Pelodiscus sinensis: one gene and its partner. The protein of the gene in region 1 purifies or fractionates together with the protein of each later gene. This does not show direct contact. Links are inferred from orthologs where the notes say so. Each region holds a gene or a part of one and is shown in the gene's direction. Other genes may lie near its edges. The genes, in order: CAMK2D and WDR76.

Region 1 (11,941 bases):
TGCCCTGGCTAATGTGGCCCTACACAGGGCGGCTGGACCAGAACCGGGTCCGGTTTAATGATCACCTCAACCGGGCCCGGAATCAAGTGGAGTGCGCTTTCGGCCGCTTAAAAGCCCACTTCCGTTGTTTGCTCACCCGTCTCGAGATGGGTGAGCGGAATGCAATGGAGGTACTAGCCGCGTGCTGCATGCTCCACAACATTGTGGAGCGGAGCGGGGAGGCCTTCCTCCCCGCATGGATGGCAGCCGAGGCACAGACTTACGAACAGCCTCACACAGCTGCCATCCACCAGGCGCACCAGGATGGGGTGCACATCTGAGAGGCCCTGACGGGCATGTTCGCACAGGCCCCATAGTAGGGTCACCTCGGTCTCCCCATACAACTCCCTCCCATCTCCTCCCCTTCCCCTCCCCTTACCTCCCAATAAAAAACAACACAGTTTGGTTTTCAACTGAAAAACTTGTATATTTTTATTTACAAGAGGGAGAGGGGGAGAAGACCTTCAACTGGGAGGGGGAGGAGCTACTCCTGGGAGGGGTGGCCCCTGCGACCGCTCCTGCGAGGGCAGACCTGGACATGGGGGTCAGGCCGCATCAGGGCAGGCTGCACAGGGAGGTGGGCAGGAGGGGCAGGAGTAGGAGGGGCAGGAGGGGTAGGGAAAGGAGCAGGAGGGGCCATTGCAGGAGGGGCAGGCGCAGTGCTAGGGGAAGGATGGCGGGGGCGTGGGACAAGGGCATGCCACAATGTATGGCATGGCCAATGTGGGCAGTGAGGGTGGTGATGGAGTCGGCCATCCTCACACTGGGCCTGGAAGGCGGCCCAGGCCTCCTGGCGCCACTGCAAGTCCCCCTCCATGCGCCGAGTGATGGCAGCCTCGACGCGCTTGCCAGCCTGCAGGTGGCACCAAAGGAGCTGGTCCTGGTGGCAGAGCCTCTGCCTTGGTGGTGGGCGGCCGGGGGTGCTGCTGTTGCCAGACTGGAGGGTCCCTGGCTTGTGCTTGGTCCCGCTGCAGGGAAGAAAAGAAAGGATGGGTCAGTCAGGCAGCCCAGCCACTGTCCCCACACCTCACGCCCTCCACCCCTGATCCCAGGTGACACCACAGTAGTGTGGCTTGGGCCCACTCGGTTACCCCTCTGCCCCCCCGTGTTGTATGTTTGCATAGAGGACTGCCCCTGGAGTAGGGTCCTCCTCCATGTATTGTAACCACCGGTCTGTGTCCTGGCTCCTTGGGGGGTGGGAGGGCGCTTGTGTTGTGTTCACCTGTGGAACTCCCTGCTGGTGGAGGCTGTGAGGCTTTGGGCCAATCAATGGTGTTTGACAGGGAGCGAGATGAATCCCCACACAGTGCTTGGGAGCACATCTGGCAGACGTGATCTGGGCTCTCAGATCCCCATCGCGTGGGATATCCCCTGGACGGAACCAGGAGAGTGACTGGGGGGGGAGGGGTGTCCCATCTTTGCAGCAGAACTCAGGCGGCCCTAGGGGTGGCCCGAGCACTTCCCCCCCTTCTCCCTCACACTATCCCTCACACATGTAGCCCAGGGACATGTGTGGCCGCAGTGGGGCCTTCCCTTGGGGAGCCAGCCAAGGCACCAGGAGCAGGCGAGAAGCTCAGTGGGGGCCACGTTCACAGGGCTGTGACACTGCGGTTTTCCCAGGAGCAGCTGGCTGTGCCTGACAGCCAGGCCTGGGACAGTGTTGCTGTTCTGCGTGCTGCACCCTTGCGGAGGTGCGAGCTCTGGCCTGAGTCCCTGGGGCCCTGGCTGGTTCCAGCCGGCACCTACCCTTTCCCCTGGTCCCGCTGGATGCGTGTGAGCAGCACGGTCCCAGGCGTGCCCTGGAGCTGCCTGCCGCGGCCACATGCCACTCGGTCACCAGGCTGCACGTGGTTACACGTGCTGCTTACTGCCTAATGCTACACAGCATGCAGGTCACGTGGCCTGATGACATGCTCTCTCCCTCCTCCCTCCGGGCGCCTGGCTTCTCACCCGCCCCCCCCCCCGTCCTTGTGAGTGCAAAGTGCAACACGCACCAGTGGATCCTTCCCCGCCTCCGAGGATGCGCGGGAGACGTCAGAGCTGCCGGAGGGAGCCTGCTGGGTGGCAGTGCCGGCCTCATCCTCTGATGCACTGCTGCTGTCTCCTTCCCCAGTCTCGGTGGTCCTGGTGACGGGGGGGCACATGCTGCTGTCAACGGGGACCTCCAGGGCTTGTGGGGCTGGCTCGCCCAGGATGGTGTGGAGCTGTTCGTAATGGGGGCAGGTGTCGGCTCCTGCCCCCTGGCCCTCGCTGGCCTGGACGTAGCCCAGGCGCAGTTCTTTAGCCCGGACTTGCTCGAGGGTCCGGGCTGGATGGCCCTGCTGGGTGAGCACCTGGGCCATGCGAGAAAAGATCTTGGCATTGCGGCGCCAGGAGCGGGTCTCGTGGAGGGCCACAGGTTCAGGAGGGCTTCCAGCTACCCCGGGGACCAGGATGGGGCCCATCTCTTTCTGGCCCTGGGGGCCTCCTGTGCTGGGGGGGCGGGTGGCTGATCCCCACGTGGATCTGCCATCATGCTTGGAGGGGTGTCTGCTCGACAGCAGAGGCCACGTGGCAGAGCTGTGGCCAGAGGGCTCCTGCCTGGTGACCTCAGCAGCCTGCATCTGCTTTAAGAGGGATCAGATTACCAGGAAGTCCGAGAGCTGATTGTGGCTACGGAGCCTCTGAGCATCCATAGGGCTTTTTTCCGTTTAACCTGCTTTTGCGCAAAACGTCTTAGCTGCCTGTCGACACTGGCCCTTTTGTGCAAAAACATTTCCGGAAAAGGGCTTTTGCCCAAATGGGAATGTCAAAGCATTTGTGCAAGAAGCACTGATTTTGGACAGCAGAACGTCAGTGCTTTTGCGCAAAATCAAGCGGCCACTGTGGACAGCTGGCAAGTTTTTGCGCAAAAGTGAAAACTTGTCAGTCTAGACGCAGCCCAGTTGTTTACACTCTCTGCTGAACAGGCAATGTTGGGGTGAAGGAACATGGTGCAAATGTTTTGTACCTGGTCATATTTATGTTTACAAAGGCCACACCTTCTTCCTTTGTGCTGAGAACAAAATGAACCTTGGGGTCGGCATCTTTGCCTGACGAACATTTCATCCAGTGGAAACATAACTCCAAAGTGGATTCTGTGCTCTTTGCATCACTGCAGACAAAAACTACATTAACTCTCTCTTGTAGTGAATAGACAAGATAGGGGTTGTAGGCCCTGATTTTGTAACTTGGTTGCTTAGTGTTAGTGGGAGATTTAGGTTCTTATTACACATGTAAGCCAAAATGTAAATTTTGGCTAACTTTTAGACACCCTACATTAAATATTTTAACCTCAAGGCGCAAATTGAATTTTACAGTCAACATGTAATGTGGATTTATCAGAATTTAAATAGTGCTGTTTTAAACACTGTGGCTACGTCTAGACTGGCATGATTTTCCGCAAATGCTTTTAACGGAAAAGCACTTTTTGCGGAAAAGTGTCCGTGCCAATCTAGATGCGCTTTTCCGCAAAAAAGCCCCGATCGCCATTTTAGCGATCGGGGCTTTTTTGCGCAAAACAAATCTGAGCTGTCTACACTGGCCCTTTTGCGCAAAAGCTTTGCACAAAAGGACTTTTGCCCGAACGGGAGCAGCATAGTATTTCCGCAAGAAGCACTGATTTCAGACACTAGGAAGTCAGTGTTCTTGTGGAAATTCAAGCGGTCAGTGTAGACAGCTGGCAAGTTTTTCTGCAAAAGCAGCTGCTTTTGTGGAAAAACTTGCCAGTCTAGACACAGTCTGTGTATATTATTAATTCCATTGATTAGGTAATTAGCAATTGCTGTTAATCAAACAGGGAAAGAACTGAGAAAGAGAGGTGAAATTAATTCTGCTCAGCCTAGCCTCATTCATCTAGAAAATCATTGTTGTACTTGATATTTGGCCAGGACGCTGGGGTTAATAGTCTGGTATTTTAATAATCCTGAGTGGGCAGGGAGGTTTTATAGGTTCAGAGGGTTTAAGACCAGAAGGGATCATTAGATCATTTAACCTCCTGTTTAACTAATGCCATTAAAATTCATCTTTAATTATCTTATAACCATGTCTTTATTACTATCTATCATTAACTAGAACTCTATTGTATTATTATTTGTACCTAAGTGATGCCTAAGAACTTTAATAATAGACAAGCATGTTAGTCATAGACCTCTCTACCCCATTCTTTTGTGCCCAAATAAGAACACTAACCTTAGTGACATTTCCTAACTTTGAGTGCCTAACTTTGTAACCTGAATCATGTTGTGTTAATGTATAAACGGACGGTGCATCTAGACTGGCAAGATTTTGCGCAAAAGTGGCCACTTTTGTGCAAAAACTTGCCAGCTGTCTACATTGGCTGCTTGAATTTGCGCAAGAGCACTGATGATCTAATGTAAGATTATCAGTGTTCTTGTGCAAATACTTTGACGCTCCTGCTCGGGAAAAAGCCATCTTGTGCAAATGTATTTGCGCAAGAGGGCCAGTGTAGACAGGGAAGGAATTTTTTGTGTAAGAAAGCCCAGATGCGCAAAATGGCAATCGGGGCTTTCTTGTGCAAAATCTTGTCTATACTGGCCACAGACGTTTTTGTGCAAAAGCAATTTTTGTGCAAAGGCACCCGTGCCAATCTAGATGCTCTTTTGCAGAAATACTTTTAACGGAAAAACTTTTCCGCTAAAAGCATTTCCGCAAAATTATGCCAGTCTAGACGCAGCCGGACAGTCCCGCTACCCAGAACTGAGAGCAGATGGAGCATGCTCAGGCTCTGCGAGCTAAACACCCTCCTAAGTCTAGTCAGCAGTAGCACAATCAGCTGGGAGGGTTTGGCCAGAGCATGCTGAATGAGGCCAGATTCTTCAGAGTTTCTTGCTACTAAAATTAAGTCCCTGCTGACCATGCACAAACTACAACTGGGGCTAAATGTCATGAGGTGGCAAAAAGGACATCGTTGACACAAGGGCCATCTTTCCACCAAATGTCAAGTCTGTTTTCTAAAGCTCCAGGGCACTCCAGCTTGTGAAAGCAGGCTCTTTGCTGGCCAGGCCTCTCGCGCGTATTGCCATCCAAGCAAAAGGTCAACTTCCCCTTGATGAAAACCCTTACACTATGTAACTTAAAGATCAGCGACGAATAGGAACCAAAACCAGACCCAAAAAGTTCATGTAAAGTTCATGCTGGTTGTGCCATGTCCGATAAGGCAGAAAAGGAAAAACAGGAAACCATCTCATCCCCTTACTCCTGTCACTTAACAGCTAGCCTATCACAAAAAGCGCACAAAAGCTTTCTCTATAAAACAGCTTCCTCTCCTGTATCAAATTGAGGAATCCCGAATAAACATTGGATGGCGGAATACGAGCCAGGTCCGAGGACTGATCACCCGAGGGCCACCTCCCGCTCACCGAACCAAACGAGTTCCTGTAGAGTGTAACGTATACCAAACATAACAAATACCAAATATGTTGTTGTAGTTTGTGTGTCTGTTAAATGTAAGTATTGTTATCTGAAATTGTTTAGAGGTATTGTTAAGTAGTAGTGTTAAAAGTTTTAGATAAATGATTAGTCTTATAAGTAAGACTGATGTAAATGTAACTGTTAATAATCCCTAGTCCCTTGTTAACAACTATTGGGATTTAGAGAAACCTCAAAGAATTTTCTTCTCTGTATTGCATTTTGCTTATTGGACAGTCTAATAATTATTTGGTGCCTATGTATGTAAGAAATTGATAAATTATGATTTTATACAAAGCCCTTTAATAAAAGTTTAAAAGATATTTAGTAATAGTTTGCCTGTTTCTGCGCCTTCCTGGGACTAGCCACATTTCCGAACCTTTTACTTTAAACCACACAGCTGTTTGAAGAAAAGGTCAGCAGAATGTTTCCATATGGGCAAAGAACGGATTTTTCCCCCAGCCTTCCAGGTTAGTAATTGGTTGAATTGTTCTGGCTGATTCCCCCCCCCCCCCCAAGAAGAAATAAAATACACCATTAAATGCCTGCAGCCGGAGGTGTACAGACACTTCACCATGTACAACTCCGGATTACAAGGTGGCAAAATGAAGCTGAAAACAGGATGCTGTGCACATTTATTCAGAAGCGATTTACTGCAATTCGCCGGGCGCTAAGCCAGATTGCCAGTGAGGAGTGAGTCGCTGAAGCTGGGAAAGCTACAAAGAAGCGCCCATGCGGTTTTGCAGACTTGGGGGGAGGAAAGACGCTTGGCGCCCCCAGGCAGAGACCTCTCCCCACGCGGACGCATCACGCCAAGCCCGCCTCCCTTGCAGCGGCGCTAAAGCCCGCGCCCCACCGCACGCTGGAGAGCAGAGAGCGTCTCCAGACGGGGGCGGGGGTGTTAACTAGCTCACTCGCTCCTGCCCCGCCCCAACCTAGAGCCAAGTCTCGCGAGAAGCAACACGCGCTGCCCTAGAGGAGGCTGCCTGGAACGCGCCCGGGCTGCGTGTCAATTATGACGCTTCGGAATGGAACGCGGCGAAGGGCGGAGGCAGGCGCGCGTGCGGTGGGCTAGGGGGAGGTCCTGCGCGGGCCGCGCGCAGCTGGCAGCCCGCGGGCGGAGGTCAGGCGGAACGTCCTCCAGCTGTGGACTAAGCCCACGTGCCTCGTTGGCAGCGGGGAGGCTGTGCAGCTGCTGCAGCGAGCCGCGCCGCGCGGGGAGCTGGCAGCCGGCTCCCGGTACACAAAGCAGCCCCGCCACTGAGCTCTCCCCTCCGCTCCTGCCTGGGGTAGGCTCACGCCCAGCCTCCGCCGCGGCGAGCGGAGCGCCGCTGTGTTTCAGTGAGACATTCACCCTCCTCCTCCTCCTCCTCTCCCGCTGCTCGTGCCCGGCGGCCGCGCTGGGAACGCTGCTAGGGGAGAACCGGCCAGGCTCCTTGGGAAGGCGAGGGAGTGGCCGCAGAGACTGTCTTCGGGGGAAAGCCCCCCGAGAGCTCGCAGCCCCCCCACGTGTTGCGCACCGCTAGAGGGAGCCGTGCCCCAAAGAGAGGGAGACGAGGACGGCAGAAGCAGCTGCCGCAGGAGGAGAAAGACCCCCCCCCCCCCTCCGCTACCTCCAGCTACTACTTCTGCTCGGTCTGCTCCCCCCACCCTAGCGCTGCGCTGCTGCTGGCTGTAGCGGCGGCCGGGCGAGCCGCACAGAGCTCCCCACAGGCCGGCGGCTGCTGCTGCCGCGGTCAGGGCCCAGCCCCGCGCGGAGCAAAGGCGGAGTGGACCGGGGCAGCTGCGGGGTTCCAGTTCCCCGCTCCTCCTCCCACCAGCCGCCCAGCTGTTTTATTCTTAGTCACTGCTGGCTGGGCTGCCTCTCGCCTTCCCGCGCTGCCTGTCGGCTGGTTTTGGTTTCCCTTTCGCGGGCCGTTTCCTCTCCAAGCCCGACCTTTGAGGGGCTTATACTGAAGCAGAAGGACTAGGGGAGGGACGAGCGGCAAGGACAGCTCGCCCGGCGGCGTGGAGCGCCCCACCCGTCCGCCCAGCCCCAGCCGACTATCCAACAAGAAAGTAAAGAAGCCAGCAAGGGTGACGCCGACTCGCCGGGAGGAGAAGAAGCGCGGCTTCTCTCCCGTCTCGCCTCCGGTCCGCCCCCCTCTTCCCAGTCCCTCTCTGCCTCCGAGGCACCGGCAGGAGCAGCCTGGACTCATGATGGCTTCAACCGCTACCTGCACCAGGTTCACCGACGAGTACCAGCTCTTCGAGGAGCTTGGAAAGTAAGCGCCGCGGTGGGGGAAGGGGTCGAGGGGAGGAGGGGGATTTCGGTTGGGAGCAAGGGAAGTGGTTTGACAGGTTGCGGCTGGGCAAAGTTGTGGCTTTTGTTCGGAATGGGGGTGGTGGCTGCTGCCTCAGATCCTTTGCAAAGGAGTCTTCATTGCATTGCTAAGCTCTGCAGTTGGAGTTGTCCTAGGGGGAGGGAGGATTCAGCTCCATGCACGAATCTAAAGGATAAATGCATAATTTTTAGACACAGCTGCCTAGCTTGCTTTGCATGCTTGTCTGTTTTATACTTGATACAATTAGGTGCTACGTTTATTGAGGCAGAAAGTTCAGCTGGATGTACAGTATCTCTTGCATCCAGTACTTCCAATGGGGAGGAAGGGCGACCCTCCCCTCCCGTCCTCTTGTTATTTGTGAAGAATTATTGTTGTTCTTGCTGGTAATGTCACATTGCATCTATCATCTCTTCAGGATTTACGGCCACCATTCTCACTAGGGTAAGAGAAACCCAAGGTAGATGAGAGAGCTCTGCCCATGGTCAGAAAAGCTGCCCGGTTTATGTAGACACTCAAAAATATATCCAGACATTCATACATTATTCACACACAAGCTGATGGCTGTGTATTGTTCATACTTGAAATTAACTATTCTCTACTCTCCAGTTTTTTTTTTGCTTTCTGTTTAAATTGAGAATTCATTGGTGTGTCATTTTGTTATGTAAATGACTTGAAAAGGCTTGTGGGGATACCATTTGGTATCAAAAACATGGAGAATGTTGTAAACAGCAGTGTAATTCAAATGCTCCTTTTCTGCAAGGAGTAGGATGTCCCTGTGTAGCGCTGTGTTCATTAAGATACACTTCTTACTCACATGAATGAGCTCTGTTTAAATTTAATTAAATATAATAGCCACATTGACAAAGCCGGAGGTGTAATTTTTACACAGGTTTGGTTTTGTTTTTTTACACTTAACAGGTTTGATTACTGTAATGTAGTCAGGGAGCAGTTGAGGCTTTTGAGTCGAGGAACAGTGAAATGTGCAAGTTTCTGGTGTGTAAATACCATCACTTACAGTTTTCTGGACATATATTAAAACTGCTTACCGTGACTTGTGGTCACTTTTATATTTTAAATCCAGTTAATTGTTGTAGTCTATAAAATGAATAATGATTGCCATTTCGTGCTCATTTGCCTGTCTCTTACATCCACAATATGCATTTCAATCAAATCAGTTAAAACACTCACATTATTAGAATCATTATCAATATTATAGCTCCTGTGCTGATGTTTGTCTGGTTATTGGTTTTCAGGGGGGCATTCTCAGTTGTAAGAAGATGTGTGAAAATTCCTGCAGGACAAGAGTATGCTGCCAAAATTATCAACACCAAAAAGCTGTCTGCTAGAGGTGGGTATTTTTCAACCCAATGTTTTCTGTGTCTGTGTCTCCCTGTCTTCATCCCCAGTCTCCCCTCCCTCCCCCTTTTTTTTGTTTTTGGCTTAGTAGTATATCTAAGCATTTACACACTCAGGAGACATTTTATTTTTTCTCCTTATATTTTCCATTTCTCTAACATACTGATTAGATATTCCATGTTGATGAATAACGTTTGGCAACGCTTAGATATGAGATTACTGTTCTGCCATGCTAAAAGGAAAGACATACACATTTCAAAGCATTGTTAAAAGCTTTTTGTGAGTGATTTTGAGCTTGGAATGTTATTTTCTTGTATTTTTTGAGAACGCACTCCTGTAGCTTTTATTAAAAGAAATAGGTCAAAGCTTAATTGAATCTCATTCTTTCATTGTATTTAAATAAGAACATAATTCATCAAGCCATATTTAACAGTGAACGCCTTTAGGGAAAAAAACTGATCTGCTGCCCATACAGTTTTTCAAATGAAGATGATGTGTAACAGGGTAGACATTTTATGAAGTAACTATTTGTGTACCAAGTAGTGATGTTTCAGTGAAGCATTTGTACTGTTATTTCTCTCATGGACACATTTTTTTTCTCCTTTTATTTTATTTTCCTTATGTGGTGTAAATGTGGGTATATATTACAACTGTGTAGCTGTGTGCATGTATACACGCTGTCAGTGGCGCTGTGCTTACACAACATTAAACAAACAACATTAAATAAACTATGTATTGTGTTAGGACTGCTGAAAATAGGTCTCATACTTATTCTTTGGCAAATCCACACTAACCTGCTTGTACTAGGATGTTAGGGATTAAGGATTATTTTCTGCTAACATAACATTATCTTTATTTTCATATGAATTTTTGGCCCTGTGATGAGCATGTAAATTGAGTAAACAAACAATGTCAGCGTCTAAACCTTCTTGCGTGGCTTGGCTTACGATTTATACAAGGAGAGTGTTGTATAGTAACAGCACTCATATGCAATGAGTTAATGAAATCAAAGAATGCTAATATATGGTAGCAGAGCTATAACTTTTAATGCTGCTCTAACACCTTTTGTATGATATAATCTTATTTTCAACTCCGTAACGGTGTAAAAGTTTACTTTTCACTTACTCTTCGTCTTCAGAATCTTAGTGTGAGATTTTTTTTTCTTTTCTAGATTTATAAAATCATATTTCTAATGAGTGTTGCTTTTTAGGATTTGGCTTATTTTGAATGGGGGTGTATGAAAATAAATGAAAGCTTATTTGACAGAACTATTTTTATTTAAATACATTTTGATTTTAAATTACTTTTTTCAGTTTGTTTAGATATGTAAAATAAAAAACAACCAAAATATTGACATTAAAACAGAGAAATGTTTACAAAGTCCCTCTAGTCATAAGAGACTGTCATCACTGGATTGTTAATAAATTATGGTTGTATGTATCGTATATGATTTAAATATATAAAAACTTAAACTCAGGTGTATTACAGTGAAGAAACAGAACACTTTATTAAAGTAAATTTTAAGAGTCTGCCTCAAATGCCTAAAAAGGAGCATAGCACATAGTAAATGCTTCTAATTTTCACTTCTTTTACATGGATTTATCTAGACTTTGGAGCACATACAGGACCAAATTGATGTGTGGTGAATTCTGTTAATGTAAATGGAATTTTACCAAGGAAATTGAGAGCGTAGTATGCAGTGTAACATCATGCACATATATTGGATTTCTGCGTTAACGGTACCAAAGAATTCAACTCCGAATTCCCTTCCTTTTGTGGATTTAAAGTTTAAACCTGGATACTAACTTGTGGTCATGTCATTTTCCTTACATATCTGTGTGTATACACGATATATTTTCAGTGGATGTAAGTGTATAGGGGTAGACCATACTAACTGTCCAGCTTTGTCTGTTCAAATTTGCACAAATACAGTAGTTTTGTCATTCGTCAGGCAACTTTCACAGAGCTAGTTTTTTCAGGGCTCTTCTGAAATTGCTAGTAGTTTTTGCTTCCAATTCTATTGCAAGTATTATGGTCCATATACTATGTCAAAAATGTACTTCATCCCAATGCACAGGGTACATACAAGGCACTTTGCAGAGGTGAATTTCCCACATGGTGACTGGTTCTCTTTGTTTAGCTTGCTAAATTGGCAGTGTTCAATAAGCCTTTTGTTTGCATTATTGAAGGAGAGGTATTTTAACATATGGAAAAATATTGTCTATTTTATTAAGTTTGTATAAAACAGTAATAATATTATTAGTTATGGTTTCATTTAGTGTTGTCCAGTCAAACAGCTTTTTCTCCACATGTATTTTCTTGGAGTATATATATTTGAATGCTTCGATTCATAGACTTCCCAACATGAAATATTGATCTGGTCATACAAAGTTGTCTGTGGATTTGTACTTGCTTCATAGTTTCTCTGCATGATTCAGTCTTTTGAAAAGAGTTTTAAAATGCTCTTGTGTTTAAAGTGCTGCATGTTCTTTATTTTTTTGGGATCTTTTGCACAAGACTGCATTTTTATTGCTCTCACTTTCAAAACTAAGTTTGTTTTACATTGATGACAAATTATGTATATTAGGTATGTGACCATATCCCAAACTAATTCAAATTACAGCAGAAAAAGTACTATTGTTTAAGATTAGATTATTTTTTAAATAGAAGTTAATTTTAAATTCATGGTTTGCTATAATATATATAACAGAAATCTAATCAGTTCCATGGTTCTCTATTTTATTGTTGAACAATAATAGTATAACCTTTCACTG
Region 2 (12,649 bases), on another chromosome or scaffold:
AGGTCATAGAATCACAGAATATTAGAACTGGAACGGACCTTGAGAAGTCATCACGTCCAGTCTCCTGCCCTCATAGCATGGTCTAAATCATCCCTGAGAGACGTCTGTTTAATCTGCTCTTAAATATCTCCAGTGATGGAGATTCCACTGTGACATAGTGGGGGGGGCTGTCTGCTCTTTAACCCGGTGTCTCCCTGCGTTGCGCTGTGTGATTCCTGCTGACTCACCCACATGTGTTTTAGCCCAGACACCCAGGCCCAGCCTGACCAGATGATAAAGCGCTTCCCGGCGGGGGGGAGGGAGAGAAAAGGAGGGAGGTAGAGATGAACACCAGGTTTTGGGGGAAGGTTCAGTTGCTGACTAGGAAACATGAAGGAAACAGTCTAAGCTGAGGGTCTAGGGGGGGCAAGGGACCCCCTAATCTAAGGGGTCTGAGGCATCCTGGTCATGACTCCTGTAACCACATCACGTCTGTGCTGTGCTGTACCCTGGAGAAGCAATAAACCCTCTCTATTCTACTGGCTGGCGGAGTCTGTTCTTGCTGCTGCAAGATCAGGGGGAACCCCAACTTGCCGTCATATCCACCACCTCCCTAGGCAATTTATTCCAGTGTTACATCATCCTGACAGGAAACTTTTTATAATGTCCATCCTAAACCTCCCTTGCTGCAGTTTAAGTCCATTGCTGCTTGTCCTATCCTCAGAGGCCCAGGAGAACAATTTTTCTCCCTCCTTTTTGTAACTCCCTTTTAAATACAATAAAACTTTTGTTATCTGGTACTCTGTTAACCAGAAAACTTTAACTGGCATTGCCCCCAGCCACAATACTGTCACATTTTCAGGCCTGGCTTGGTTTACCATGATTGGCTTAATTTTTTATTTAAGAAGTACTAATCATCTTTAACTCAAAATAGAAATGAGAGACCAACTGCCTCACACTATAAAACTACCAATACAGTAATTACTCATTTAACATGTGCCTGCTTAACACTTTTTCGCAGTAGCACAATTTTTTTAGGGAACATTTTTCGAATAACACGACCTTTCCCGAAATAACACGAAAATAATCAAGTGGCGGACTGCTTTGCTCGGTGGTATAAGTTGGTGAAAACAGTGGTAAGACGCATGAGTGGATGAATTCACGTGGTCACAGTGCTCCTCTCCTCATTCACGTGTTTATCTGTGTGTTTTAACAAACTGCAGCGACTTGTATTGGTAGATATCTAATGTTGACATTGACGACCCAGCACCAAAACAGAATTGACTTCGCTATCACCACCTGAAATGCAACCCCCACCTTTTCCATTATTTTTAATGGGAAAATTGACCCTGCATAGCATGCTTTTGCTTAGCACAAACATTTTCAGAAATGCATCTATTGTGTTAAATGAGGAATTACTGTATTAAAAACTTGAGTTTTACTATTATTGTCCATTGGTTTTTCCTAGGTTGACGGGACCCTCAGATAACTGGAACTTTTAGATAACCGGAACGCCCTAATCCCTGAGTGACGGATAACACAGAATTTACTGTACTAGAAAACTGCTATCAAGTCCCCTTTCAGTCTTCTCTTTTCCAATCTAAACAAGCCCAATTCTTTCAGTCTTCCCTTATAGTTCATGTTTTCTAGACCTTTAATCATTTTTGTTGCTCTTCATTGCACCTTCTCCAATTTCTCCACATCTTTCTTGAAACGTGTTGCCCAGAACTGAACACAGTACTCAATTGAGGCCTAATCAGCGCAGAGTAGAGCAGAAGAATGACTTCTTGTGTCTTGCTCACAACACTCCTGTTAATGCAGCCCAGAATCATGTTTGCTTTTTTTGCAACTGTCATACTGTTGACTCCTATTTAGCTTGTGGTCCATGGTGACTCTCTAGATCTTTCTGCAGTACTCCTTTCTGGACAGTCACTTCTCATTCTGTATGTGTGAAACAGATTGTTCCTTCCTAAGTGGATTTGTCCTTATTCAACTTCATCCTATTTACCTTGGACCATTTCTCCAGTTTGTCCAGATCTTTTTGAATTTTGACCCAATCCTCTAAAGCACTTGCAACTCCTCCCAACTTGGTATCATCTGCAAACTTAATAAGCACACTCGCTATGCCAATATCTAAATCGTTGATGAAGATATTGAACATAACAGGTTCCAAAACAGTCCCGAGGAACCCCACTTGTTCTGCCCTTCCAGCATGATTGTGAACTGTTAATAACTACTCTCTAAGTCAGGGGTGTCCAAACTTTTTTCAAAGCGGGCCAGATTTGAAGAAGTGAACATGCGTCAGGGCCGTCCCCGCACTCTCAGCCCCAAGGCGGAGGGCCCGCAGGGTCGGAGGCGGGCGGAGAGCGCAGGGCACGCTGGCCTCATGGCGGCCAGGGGGCAGGGCGAACCTGCAGCCGAGCGGGGGAGCGGGGCTGCGGACGTGCCCTACAGGGCAGGCTCTAGGACCGCGGAGGCCATGGGCGGCGGCGTGGCCGGAAGCGGCGCGCTGGGCTCGCCAGTTCAAAAGAGCGCCGGGGAGCCAGGAGAGGGGGAGGAAGCGGGGGCTGTATTAAATCGGAACACGGGCCGCAATTGGCCCGCAGGCCGGACTTCGGACATGCCTGCTCTAAGTGGTTATCTAGCCAATTACACACCCACCTTATAGTAGCCCCATCAAGGTTGCATTTCTCTAGCTTATTGATAAAAATGTCATGCGAGACTGTATCAAAAGCTCTACTAAAGTCTAGGTATACCACATCCACTGCTTCTCCTGTGTCCACAAGACTTGATATCCTATGAGATTGCTTTGACATGATTTATTCTTTAAAAATCCATGCTGGCTGTTACTGGTCACCTTATTTTCTTCCAGATGTTTGCAGATGATTTCCTTAATTACCTGCTCCATTATCTTCCGAGGCACAGAAGTTAAACTAACTGGTCTGTAGTTTCCTGGGTTGTTGTTTCCCTTTTTATAGATGGGCACTAGATTTGCCCTTTTCCAGTCTTCTGGAATCTCTCCTGACTTCCATGAATTTTCAAAGATGATAGCTAAAGGCTCAGACACCTCCTCTATCAGCTCCTTGAGTATTCTAGGCCCTGGTGACTTGAAGACATCTAACTTTTCTAAGTAATTTTTAACTTTAACTTCTAAACCTACCCCATTTCCACTAGCATTTTCCATGTTAGGCATCCCTTCATCATCAAACTTCTTGGTGAAAAGTTTCCTCTTGTTGTTTCTCCTTCCTCACTGAGCAATGGGCTTATACTGTCCTTGGTCTTCCTTTTGCTCCTAATACATTTATAGAATATCTTCTTGTTTCCCTTTATGCCCCTAGCTAGTTTTAGCTCATTTTGTGCCTTTGCCTTTCTAATCTTGCCCCTGCATACGTGTGTTGTTGCTTATATTCATCCTTTGTCATTTGATCTAGTTTGCACTTTTTATGACTCCTTTTTGATTTTGCAAGATTGCTGTAACCAAAATGGTATTCCATGGTGGGGCAGTTTTGTTAACTGAGCTTGCGTACCTAGAATTTGTGGGGTGTGCCAACTGAACCATAGCAGTGCTTTGACTAGGTGCAAAGGGAGTACATTGCTCTGACAATCTACATTGTGTGCAAAAGCTTCAGAGGGGTAGCTGAGTTAGTCTATAGCTGGAAAAACTTAAACAACAAAGAGTCTAGCAGCACCTTAGAGAATAACAGAACATGTAGATGGTACCATGAGCTTTCGTGGGCACAGCCCACTTCTCTCCTCTTGCCCCGCACCAGATGGCTTGTAAAGTGATCACATACCACGTCTTATGGCACCTCAGAGACACAGTAAAAGCTTCAGGGGGAAGTCAGTTAGTCTGTGAGAGGAAAAACCCACTTCTTGCGCCTTAGCTTTTTCCCTCCAAGTATTACTACAGTGATAGGCATGTAAAGCGATGTGGACAAAAGCCAGCGAAATCTGGCAACCCTGCACATGGGCTATAGCAAACTATGTTTCACAGGCCACAGGTTACCCACCACTTTTACAGAAGTTTAGTGATTAATCATTGTAAGAGTGCTTTCTGTGAGCACTGCCTCTCTGATCTCACACACACAACTATGTGATGTTGCTCAAAACCATTTACCAGCTGTGATGGCTGGAGCCATAAACCTCATTGACCATACTTACAAAGGACGATATCCTTCATTAACTCTAGGTCAGCTAGATGGTCTTGAATTGTTTTCTACACAAAATCTAGGTCTCAGTACGAGTATTAGTTTTAGGTGTTAGATTTAGCTGTCTTCTGTTTGATTGTATTGGATATTTCCCCATGTCTGCTGGGTTTAGCAGCCCCTTGGGTTATCTGAAGGCCTTGTCTAGAATGTGTGTGAAACTTTGTGGTCTGCTCATACAGCGCCTATGTGTATGACAAAGGGCATTCTTTGGATCTTGGATTGTGCTGTCCTTTCCTGCAGAGGTTCAGAAAACCCTCTGTCCTCTTGAGAGCTGAACAGTCTCCATGTAGTGCAATTTATCAAGTGTGGAGGTATTGCCTTTCACCCCTATGCAGTTATTTAAATGCTTCAGAGATTTTTAAGATCAGAAAGGACTATTCAGACTCTCCTGCTCTTATTTCTAGTTTAAATTTGTCTAACTTAATTCCTTGCTTTGTTTTCTAGCTTTAAAAACATTTGGTAAATTCTGCTCTCTGAGTAGATGCTTGTAGACCACAATCAAGTCACCACTTAATCTTCTCTGTTGATAAACTAAATAGATCTTTCTTTAGTTTCATTAAAGCAGGTTTTTCATACTGCTAATCAAAGCTGTTTTCTGAACTCCCTCCAGTTTGTCAGCATAGGCTTCTTCCCATACATTGGCTTCACTTCCACCCTACCTAGGTTATTACATGGACTTCTCCACCTCTCCTAGGCAATGGAAAAACACAGAAATTCCCATATTTAAGATTCTCAATGAGATGACCAACATATGTGGTACTATAGATATACTTCCTGTGTTCCCACTGGTCATACATGCACATTAAACAAGCAAAAAAAACCAACCCCCACTTCAGTTGTACAGAACACCAGGCATTTCCTTGGCAAGGACCCATTCATTACCTTCTCGAAGATTTCCAAAGAGGAAGGGAAGAGTCTACTTAAAGGGTCCCTTGCCCACTTGTGAGTTTCCGAACTCAAATCAAAATGATGTGGATTCATGTTTCCAAAATCTGATAAATCTAAGAGACAACTGTGACGTAGTGGGGGTACCTGGCTGGTTTCTATGCTGCTGGCTCTGGGGTAACCCCCACTGGCTGCTGTGGGTACCACGACCCAGCAAAACAGGATGAGTCACTATGCAAACCAGTATGGCCAGACACCCCCCATGGAGAGGAACAGAGGAAGGTGGAATGCTGCCCTGGCTGGGGGGCAGGGCTGGAAGAGGGTTAGTTAGTTGCTGGCTGGGAGCATGGAGGAGACAGCCTAGGGAAAGGGGCTGGAATTTAGGGGCCCAGTCTCCCCCATCTCAAGGGGGCCTGAGGCAGCCTAGCCCAGCTCTGTGACCAGATTACATCTGTGCTGTGCTGTAACCTGGAGAGGCAATAAACTTCCTCTATTCCACCGGCTGGTGGAGTCTGTTTGTGCCATTTCGGGGTGCAGGAGACAGGGGACCCCCAACGTGCCGTCACAACTACTTACTGTCCTTCATTGCCAGAAGTTCTCATTCATATTTCCCTGGAGTTAATATTTAAGACTCTCAATGAGATGACGACAAACATCCTATTTTCCATCCTCATCTGGCAACACTGTTTAACCCGCTGAGGATAGTAAAGTCCCTCACCTGATCTCTACTCAACTCCTACATTTTCCAGTGCAGTACTGAGGCAGGTTTTGAATGAGCCAGGCAATGTGCTTTTTACCCATATGGTGCCATGCTATTCTAGTCTGATTGGCCATTACCACTGATTACATTTCATCCCATTATTTTTACCTATTACTCCTCCCTCATTAAATGCTTACTTTCTAATCCATCTCAATCACCACAGGATTATGTGCTTGCAGAAGCATGTTACTCCAGCTTGATTTTATTGAGTGTATGCTAAGACATTCCTGGGCCTCTGGCTAGAATTGCCAACTTGCTACTGACACACAAATGAACACACTTGCCTCCTGTTGTGTGCGTGCTCCATCCTGCCCTCATTTTCACCAGGCTGGCTCAGAGGGTTGGGGTGTAGGAGGGGGTGAGACCTCTGGCAAAGGGTATGGGGTGGGGCCAGAAAAGAGGTGTTCCAGGTGTGGGTAATATCCTGAGGCAGGGAATTAGGATGGGGACTGTAAGGGCTCTGGCTCGGGGCACATGGGGATGAGAGGTTTGGGGCTGCAGGAAGGGGCTCCCAGCTGGGGGATGGGACTGAGGGTTCAGGGTGGGGGCTCTGAGGGTTAGGCAGGGGGTAGGGATGCCAGTGAGACGGGGATCGGAGTTGGGTGGGGCTCCTGGCTCAGGCAGGGGGTTTGGGTGGGGCGAGGTGTCTGGGGCTCCCAGCAGAGAGGTGGGGCGAGGGAATCGGAGTTGGGAGGGGCTCAGTGCTGAGGCAGGGGGTTGGGGTGAGGGCTTCTAGGCTGAGGCAGGGGGTTCGGATGTGTGTGTGGTCCTGGGCTGATGCAGGGGGTTGGGGTGGGGGGGTTGGGATACGGGGGGGGGGGCAGAGGGGGTGTTGAGATTAGGGGTTGCCAGGTGTCCGGTATTGACCCGGACAGGCCGGTATTTTTGCCTCCTGTCTGGTAAAAAAAAATTCCGAAAATACCCAACACCTAAAATGTCCGGTGTTTTCTGATCCTCTCCCCTGCCAGGAAGCGAAACTACCAAACACCTGGCAACCCTACAACACTCAGCCCCGCCCCTGCCGCCCCCCAAAGGCTTGTCTTAAAGGGGCCATGCTGCTTTATTTTTAATTTATTTTTTTGCTTAATAATTCTCGGGGGGGGGGGGCTTTTTTTTTTGCTCAACTTTGGCCTCCCCCTTTTTTTTCCTCAACAGACTCCCCTCCTGTGCGCTGCAGTATGACCGGTTAACCCGGCTGGGAGCGCCCCGGACCCGCCCAGGCTCGAGCGAGCAGCCCTCGGGCCACGTGCGGCCCCGCTGCTGGGGGCGGGGCGGGGCATCCGAGCGGCCCCGCCCCCTGAGGGGAGCGGCCCCGCCCCCTTGCCTCAGCGGGAAGCGAGGCCCCGCCCCGCCGCTCTCCCGCGCTGCCGAGGCGATGCCGCGCGCCGGGGCTGAGGAGCCGTTGGCCCGGCAGCGGGAGCAGGTGGGTGCCCGGGCCGGCCGCGCGGGGGGGCGGGGAGGGGATTCTGGGCCCCGTCCCCGGACCCCGTCGGGCCAAGTCCCCCCCTTGTCCGGGCTCCTGCTGAGGGGGGGGGGCAGAGCCCGCCGGGCGCGGGCCGGATGCGGGCTCGCGAGCGCGGCGCCGGGCGGTGGGGGGGCCGCGCGCGCGCCAGGTGTGAGGGCCCCGCCCCGGGGGCAAGGAGCGCGCGCCGCGTCTGGCGTCCCCAGCAGCCGCGCTCCTGGTCCCGGCGCCGCGCGGGCTCTGCCCCCTGCCGGGCTGCCTACGCGTCTCCCCTGCAGAGCAGCTGGCGCCCCGCATGCTCCTTGGGTTTAAAGAGCGGTCCCCGACACGGCGCCACCGGGGCCAGCCCGAGCCATTCGTGTGTCCCCGGGAGCCCCCCCCAGGTGCCCGGAAACCCCAAAGGTTGTGAGCCCTGGTTCAAAGCTACAGACTAACAGTCACCCCACTTCTAGAAACCTGCCCTGGGCGCTGCTGTTAAAATGTTCCCGGGGCTAGTTATGTGCAGTCAGCTGATTGGAGACCAGTTACAGGAGCGGCCTTCTAGCAGAGTGTTCCTTTGTATTTTTTTTTCCACTTCATTTGTGTAGGAGCGTACACCGAAAGAAAACCCCAGCATGAGCTATGTATCAGACAAAGCTGAAAAAAGAGCAGTTTTTGGAAAACAAGTGAAAGTTCTTCTCACCCCCTTATTCACGGAAGGAGAGAAATGCAACAAACGTCTGCCCCAGAAACGCTTACTGGAAAAGTTTTCTAGTAATGAGGGCTCGTCAGAAAGAGAACCAAAAGTCAAAAAATCCTGTGATGATCTCACAAGTCTGCAAATAAGAGATGAATCCTACAAGGCTTCTTCCAGTCCACAAGAAGTAATCCCCGATACGTCTTCACTTCCTAATCAGAGTAGCATGGTGTCATCCACAAACACCTCAGTTATGGTTGATCGTGATTCAGAAACCAATGGGGACACAGACCATGAAGGAAGCAATTTGGATACCTCTTATCTGGTAAGAAGTCAAACACTGACTATTTTAGTGACTATGTACTTTTTCACACCTGCCAAGGGAGATGAGAAGCAAAAGGGGCAACTTCCCTGGTGCCTGGCAAATCAAAAAGGCTTGGGGTAGGCATGGCATGCTGGGAGAGACACTGAGGCTGTCTGAGGGAAGCTAGTCCCAGCCCTGCCTCTTCTGCCTGAGGCTCCACCCATTCCAGGGGTGTAGAGGGGACCAGAGAGTCTTTTGGCCCCACTGTCCTCTTAACTTTTTCAATATATTCTTAGCCTAGCCCTCCATTTATCCTATTTGGCATTTTTCACATTTTGAAATTTTCACATTTTGAAACTTCAAGAATTGATGACCTTATCTATAAGGAACTGTTTGCTCCCTAGAAAACATCAGAGAATAAAATTCTGCTGTTTTTAAGGAAATGCAGTGATTTACTTCATTTTTTTAAGATAGAAAAATAAGATCATGTTTTTTCATAGTTATTCAAGACGAATTATTCATTTTTACATTGCCCTCTGGATTAGATTTTTGGCTTACCAATATATATAGTTTTGTTTTTATTGGTTGTAGGTAAATATTACTGTTTACTTAGCATAATTAATGTTAAAATACTTGGTAACATATGAGAAGAATGGGCCTGAAGTTCCCCACCCCTGATTTAAAGAGTCTAGTAAAGACTTGCAAAATTAAACGCTGAAGTCAATCACGTCAACCACTGTACTCCTTACTTGAGGAGTAAGGGAAGTTAAGGGGAGTGTTTCTCCTGTTGACCTCCCTCTGTGTGGTGCCAGGAAATCGATGCAATTTATATAGCTGGAGTTCCATATTTTGCATCGATTTTTCTCCTCAAGAGTAGTCCTACCCTTAGATTGCAAGCTCTTTCCAGCTAATTCTGCCTTTTGTTCTGTAGTTGTAGAGGGCTGAGCACAATGGGTTCCTAGTCCATGACGAGGGCTCCTAAGTGCATTGGAAATCCAAATAATGGTTTTCAGAATGTACCATGTTTCCCTTATTTTGTAAGGTGACAAGAAATAGCACACAGCTTATTCCATTTACAGCCAGTATTTGGCTTATGAGTATATCTGAATAATTCCACTCTTATGAAAAAGTTAGTTACCTTTAGTTCTGAAAAGGAGTCAATTAATTTTTCTCTTCACAATAGTGAAGACAGCTATTATAAGACAGTCTAACACTGGTATTTTTGTACACTCTTCAGTGTATATAATTGCCTCGTGTTGTATGTTTTCGTTTCTTGTTTATCAGTGTAATATTAATTTGATTATTGAATAATTTTAACATCCATAAAGAACTTTGATACAATCTTTAAAACTCCCTAAGTGTGTGTCTGAGCTGTATGTATAAAACACTCCTATTCTGATACAAAATCATCTTGGCTTCTGTTGCTACATGAAATTAATAAAGGTTTTCTGAAGTTAGTGTACTGACTAGCTCCCTCACATTTTTCTTTAGCTCTTCAAAGTTCAGCAGGTGTGCTTTTAAGAAATGTAATTCCTTAAATATCAGTCTTTGGGGCTAGTGTTGTTTTATTCTTTCCTGTGACTGTATATCTTTATGGGGGGCAGAGAGAATGCTTCTGCAGTACAGTAAAATGAGGACTCTACAGCTTCTTTTTGTATTAAGGGCAAAATGCAAATTGCTAGTGACTGACCACGCTAATTGAACTCTGTTAAAGTACTACGGGTTGGACCTCCTTGGTCCAGCACCTTTGGGACCTGACCTATTCTGAATGAGGGAATTTGCTGGATCAGGGGAGCTCCCCTGCCACCGGCCTCACAGGACACTGCCCCTTCCTCTGGTTGGCTCTGCTCCAGCCCTGCTGGGACAGGGGTTGGGCTCGGCTCTGGCCCTGTTTGGGGCTTTCCGGTGATGGAGCTCCCCAGCTGCCATGGCCCTATTTGTCCTGCCTGGCTGGGGCTTCCCGGGGATAGGGCTCTGTGGCTGCCCCCACCGGGGTCTGGGTACTAGAGTTGTCTGATCCAGCAACATCTGTGATCCTGCTGGACCAGGGAGCCCCAGATTTAGGAGATTCAACCTGTACTGTCTAGTGAGTGTGATGTTTTGTTCTTATTCCTCCCAATTCATATTTTTACACTTGTTTGGAAATGGAGAAATATCAAGTACTCCTTAAAGTAAAATTTATTATAAGAGATGCTTGGAACCTAAAATCTTGTCTCTTTATTTAAAGAAAAAGAGGCCATGTAACTTTATACAGAGAAGTATTGTCTCAACACTTCAGGCCTCTTAATGCACTCTGTGTACTGTCTTAAATGTTTGTGTACTGTCTTTATTACTGTTGTTTGTTTGGTGCAGGATGGATCTTCACAGCTGTCAGCCTATGAAAGAAAAAGACTGAAGAACATTATGGAAAATGCTAATTTCTTTGCTTCTCTAAAGCTGCTTGAGGTTTGTATTATGTCTGCCTAGAATAAGACCAAAATAATCATTCTAAATGTAATAGAAATTACCATACCAAAACTCACCCATAGTTCATTTAGTTATTAAATATGTCTCTAACAGTGTCCTACACCAGACACTTAAAAAAAACGCATAAAAATTTCATAACACAGCTGACTTGCAATGATATATCAGTGATCAGATTATGCTTTACACAGACTCTTTGATAGGACTTTAATTTGAATGGGATTTCATTCATTAATATTTATAAAGTACTCAAGTGCAGTCTATGCATTGGAAGAAGTAATCCAAACAAGTTAAGATTGTGACATTTTTAATGTTATCGACAGACACAGATACTCTTTTTCTCCTTTCCATATTCCTTTTCCTGTGTACTGTTCTGTTATTTCTCATAGGTCCACTCTTTGGCATTAAGAAGTAACTTTCTTCCTTGGAAGTCCACTCTTTTGCTCACTCAGAGCTGGCTCTGAGTCCCAGGTGCAGAAGCACAGAGTGATTAGAGAAAATCCCTCTAGTTGTTTCTGAGGAGCTAGCATGAGACGTGTTTAACCTCCCCAATTTCATCTGGCACATTGGACACCTACCTGTGCACACAAACTGCTCTAGAGTTCTGTATGTCTAAGGAAACGAAACAGTGAACAAGCATTCAGCTCTCTTCCAAATTGTTCTTTATCTTTGCATTTGTATGTTAATTCAAGTCCTCTACTGATGATAATTTTTGTGAGTAAAACTGCTGATAGTATAGCGCTTATATCTACCAATCTTCTTTTGAGTCTTACACTAGATGTGCAACTGATGAGTATATTTTATAAACAGTTGGCTAGATCTCTTCTAGTCCTATGGATTCTGTGAAGAGACAGACACATCTCATGTTATCGAGACTATTTCTGAAAGGCGTTTCTCTAACCTGCTCTTAAAAATCTCCAGCGATGGAGATTCTGTAGTGTCCCTAGGCAGCTTACTCCATTGTTTAACCATCCTGACAGGAGGTTTTTCCTAATGTCTAATCTAAACCTCCCTTGCTGCAATTTAAGCCCATTGCTTCCATCCTATCCTTAGAGGTCAAGAAAAACAATTCTCTCCCCTCGTCCCCTGCTTGTAACAACCTTTTAGGTACTTGAAAATGGTTATCATGTTCCCTCTGTCTTTTCTAGACTAAACAAACCCAGTTCTTTCAGTCTTCCTTCATAGGTCATGTTTATAGACCTTTAATCACTTTTATTGCTCTTCTCTGGACTTTTTGCCAATTTGTCCACATCTTTCCTGAAATGTGGCCCTCAGAACGGGACACAATAGTTCAGTTGCGTCCTAATCAGCACAAAGTAGAGAGGAAGAAGTAGTTCTTGTGTGTTACAGCACTCTTGCTAATGCATCCTAGAATGATGTTTGCTTTTTTTGCAACTGTGTCACACTGTTGACTCATATTTAGCTTGTGGTCCACTATGAGCCCAAATCCCTTTCTGCAGTACTCACTTTTGGATAATCATTTCTCATTTTGTGTGTATGAACAGAAATCAGTTGCCAAATCATTTTCTCTGGTGTTTCTTGTTTAGGATTTTGTTTTCCTTAGCACTGCAAGATGAATACAGCCATAGAATACCAAGATAGATAGTATTCTGTTCTTGTGTGTCACAAGATGCCCCAGAATTCAGTTAATTTGTTTTTATTTTATTTTTTTTGCTAGGGAGTAACAACTTGCAAATACAAAGACAGAAACAACACAGTTCAAGTTGCAGGTTTACTCTTTAGTTTGTAGAATTGGAAGTTAGGCAGATATGACTGGTAAACTGAATAAGTCAGATAATTGAGAGAGAATGAACACAGAAAACCTCATAATCATTAGTTTTCATAACTGTATTTCACAAAACCATTAAACACTTGTTCATCTGATTATTTTTCTTATATTTCTACATTTTTC

The links.
Region 2: the proteins of CAMK2D (region 1) and WDR76 purify together in Homo sapiens (affinity purification with mass spectrometry; 3 studies listed by BioGRID and IntAct, counting the BioPlex papers as one, with this or other methods). This does not show direct contact. The link is inferred for Pelodiscus sinensis from reciprocal best matches to the Homo sapiens genes CAMK2D and WDR76.

Annotation. Positions count from the first base shown.
Region 1 is NC_134715.1:32,402,774-32,414,714, reverse strand, and holds the start of CAMK2D (calcium/calmodulin-dependent protein kinase type II subunit delta), read left to right. Parts: upstream 1-6,440; 5' UTR 6,441-7,683; coding exon 7,684-7,751; intron 7,752-9,064; coding exon 9,065-9,159; intron 9,160-11,941. UniProt on the Homo sapiens protein: Calcium/calmodulin-dependent protein kinase involved in the regulation of Ca(2+) homeostatis and excitation-contraction coupling (ECC) in heart by targeting ion channels, transporters and accessory proteins involved in Ca(2+) influx into the myocyte, Ca(2+) release from the sarcoplasmic reticulum (SR), SR Ca(2+) uptake and Na(+) and K(+) channel transport.
Region 2 is NC_134724.1:293,519-306,167, forward strand, and holds the start of WDR76 (WD repeat-containing protein 76), read left to right. Parts: upstream 1-7,098; 5' UTR 7,099-7,207; coding exon 7,208-7,255; intron 7,256-7,881; coding exon 7,882-8,295; intron 8,296-10,626; coding exon 10,627-10,719; intron 10,720-12,649. UniProt on the Homo sapiens protein: Specifically binds 5-hydroxymethylcytosine (5hmC), suggesting that it acts as a specific reader of 5hmC.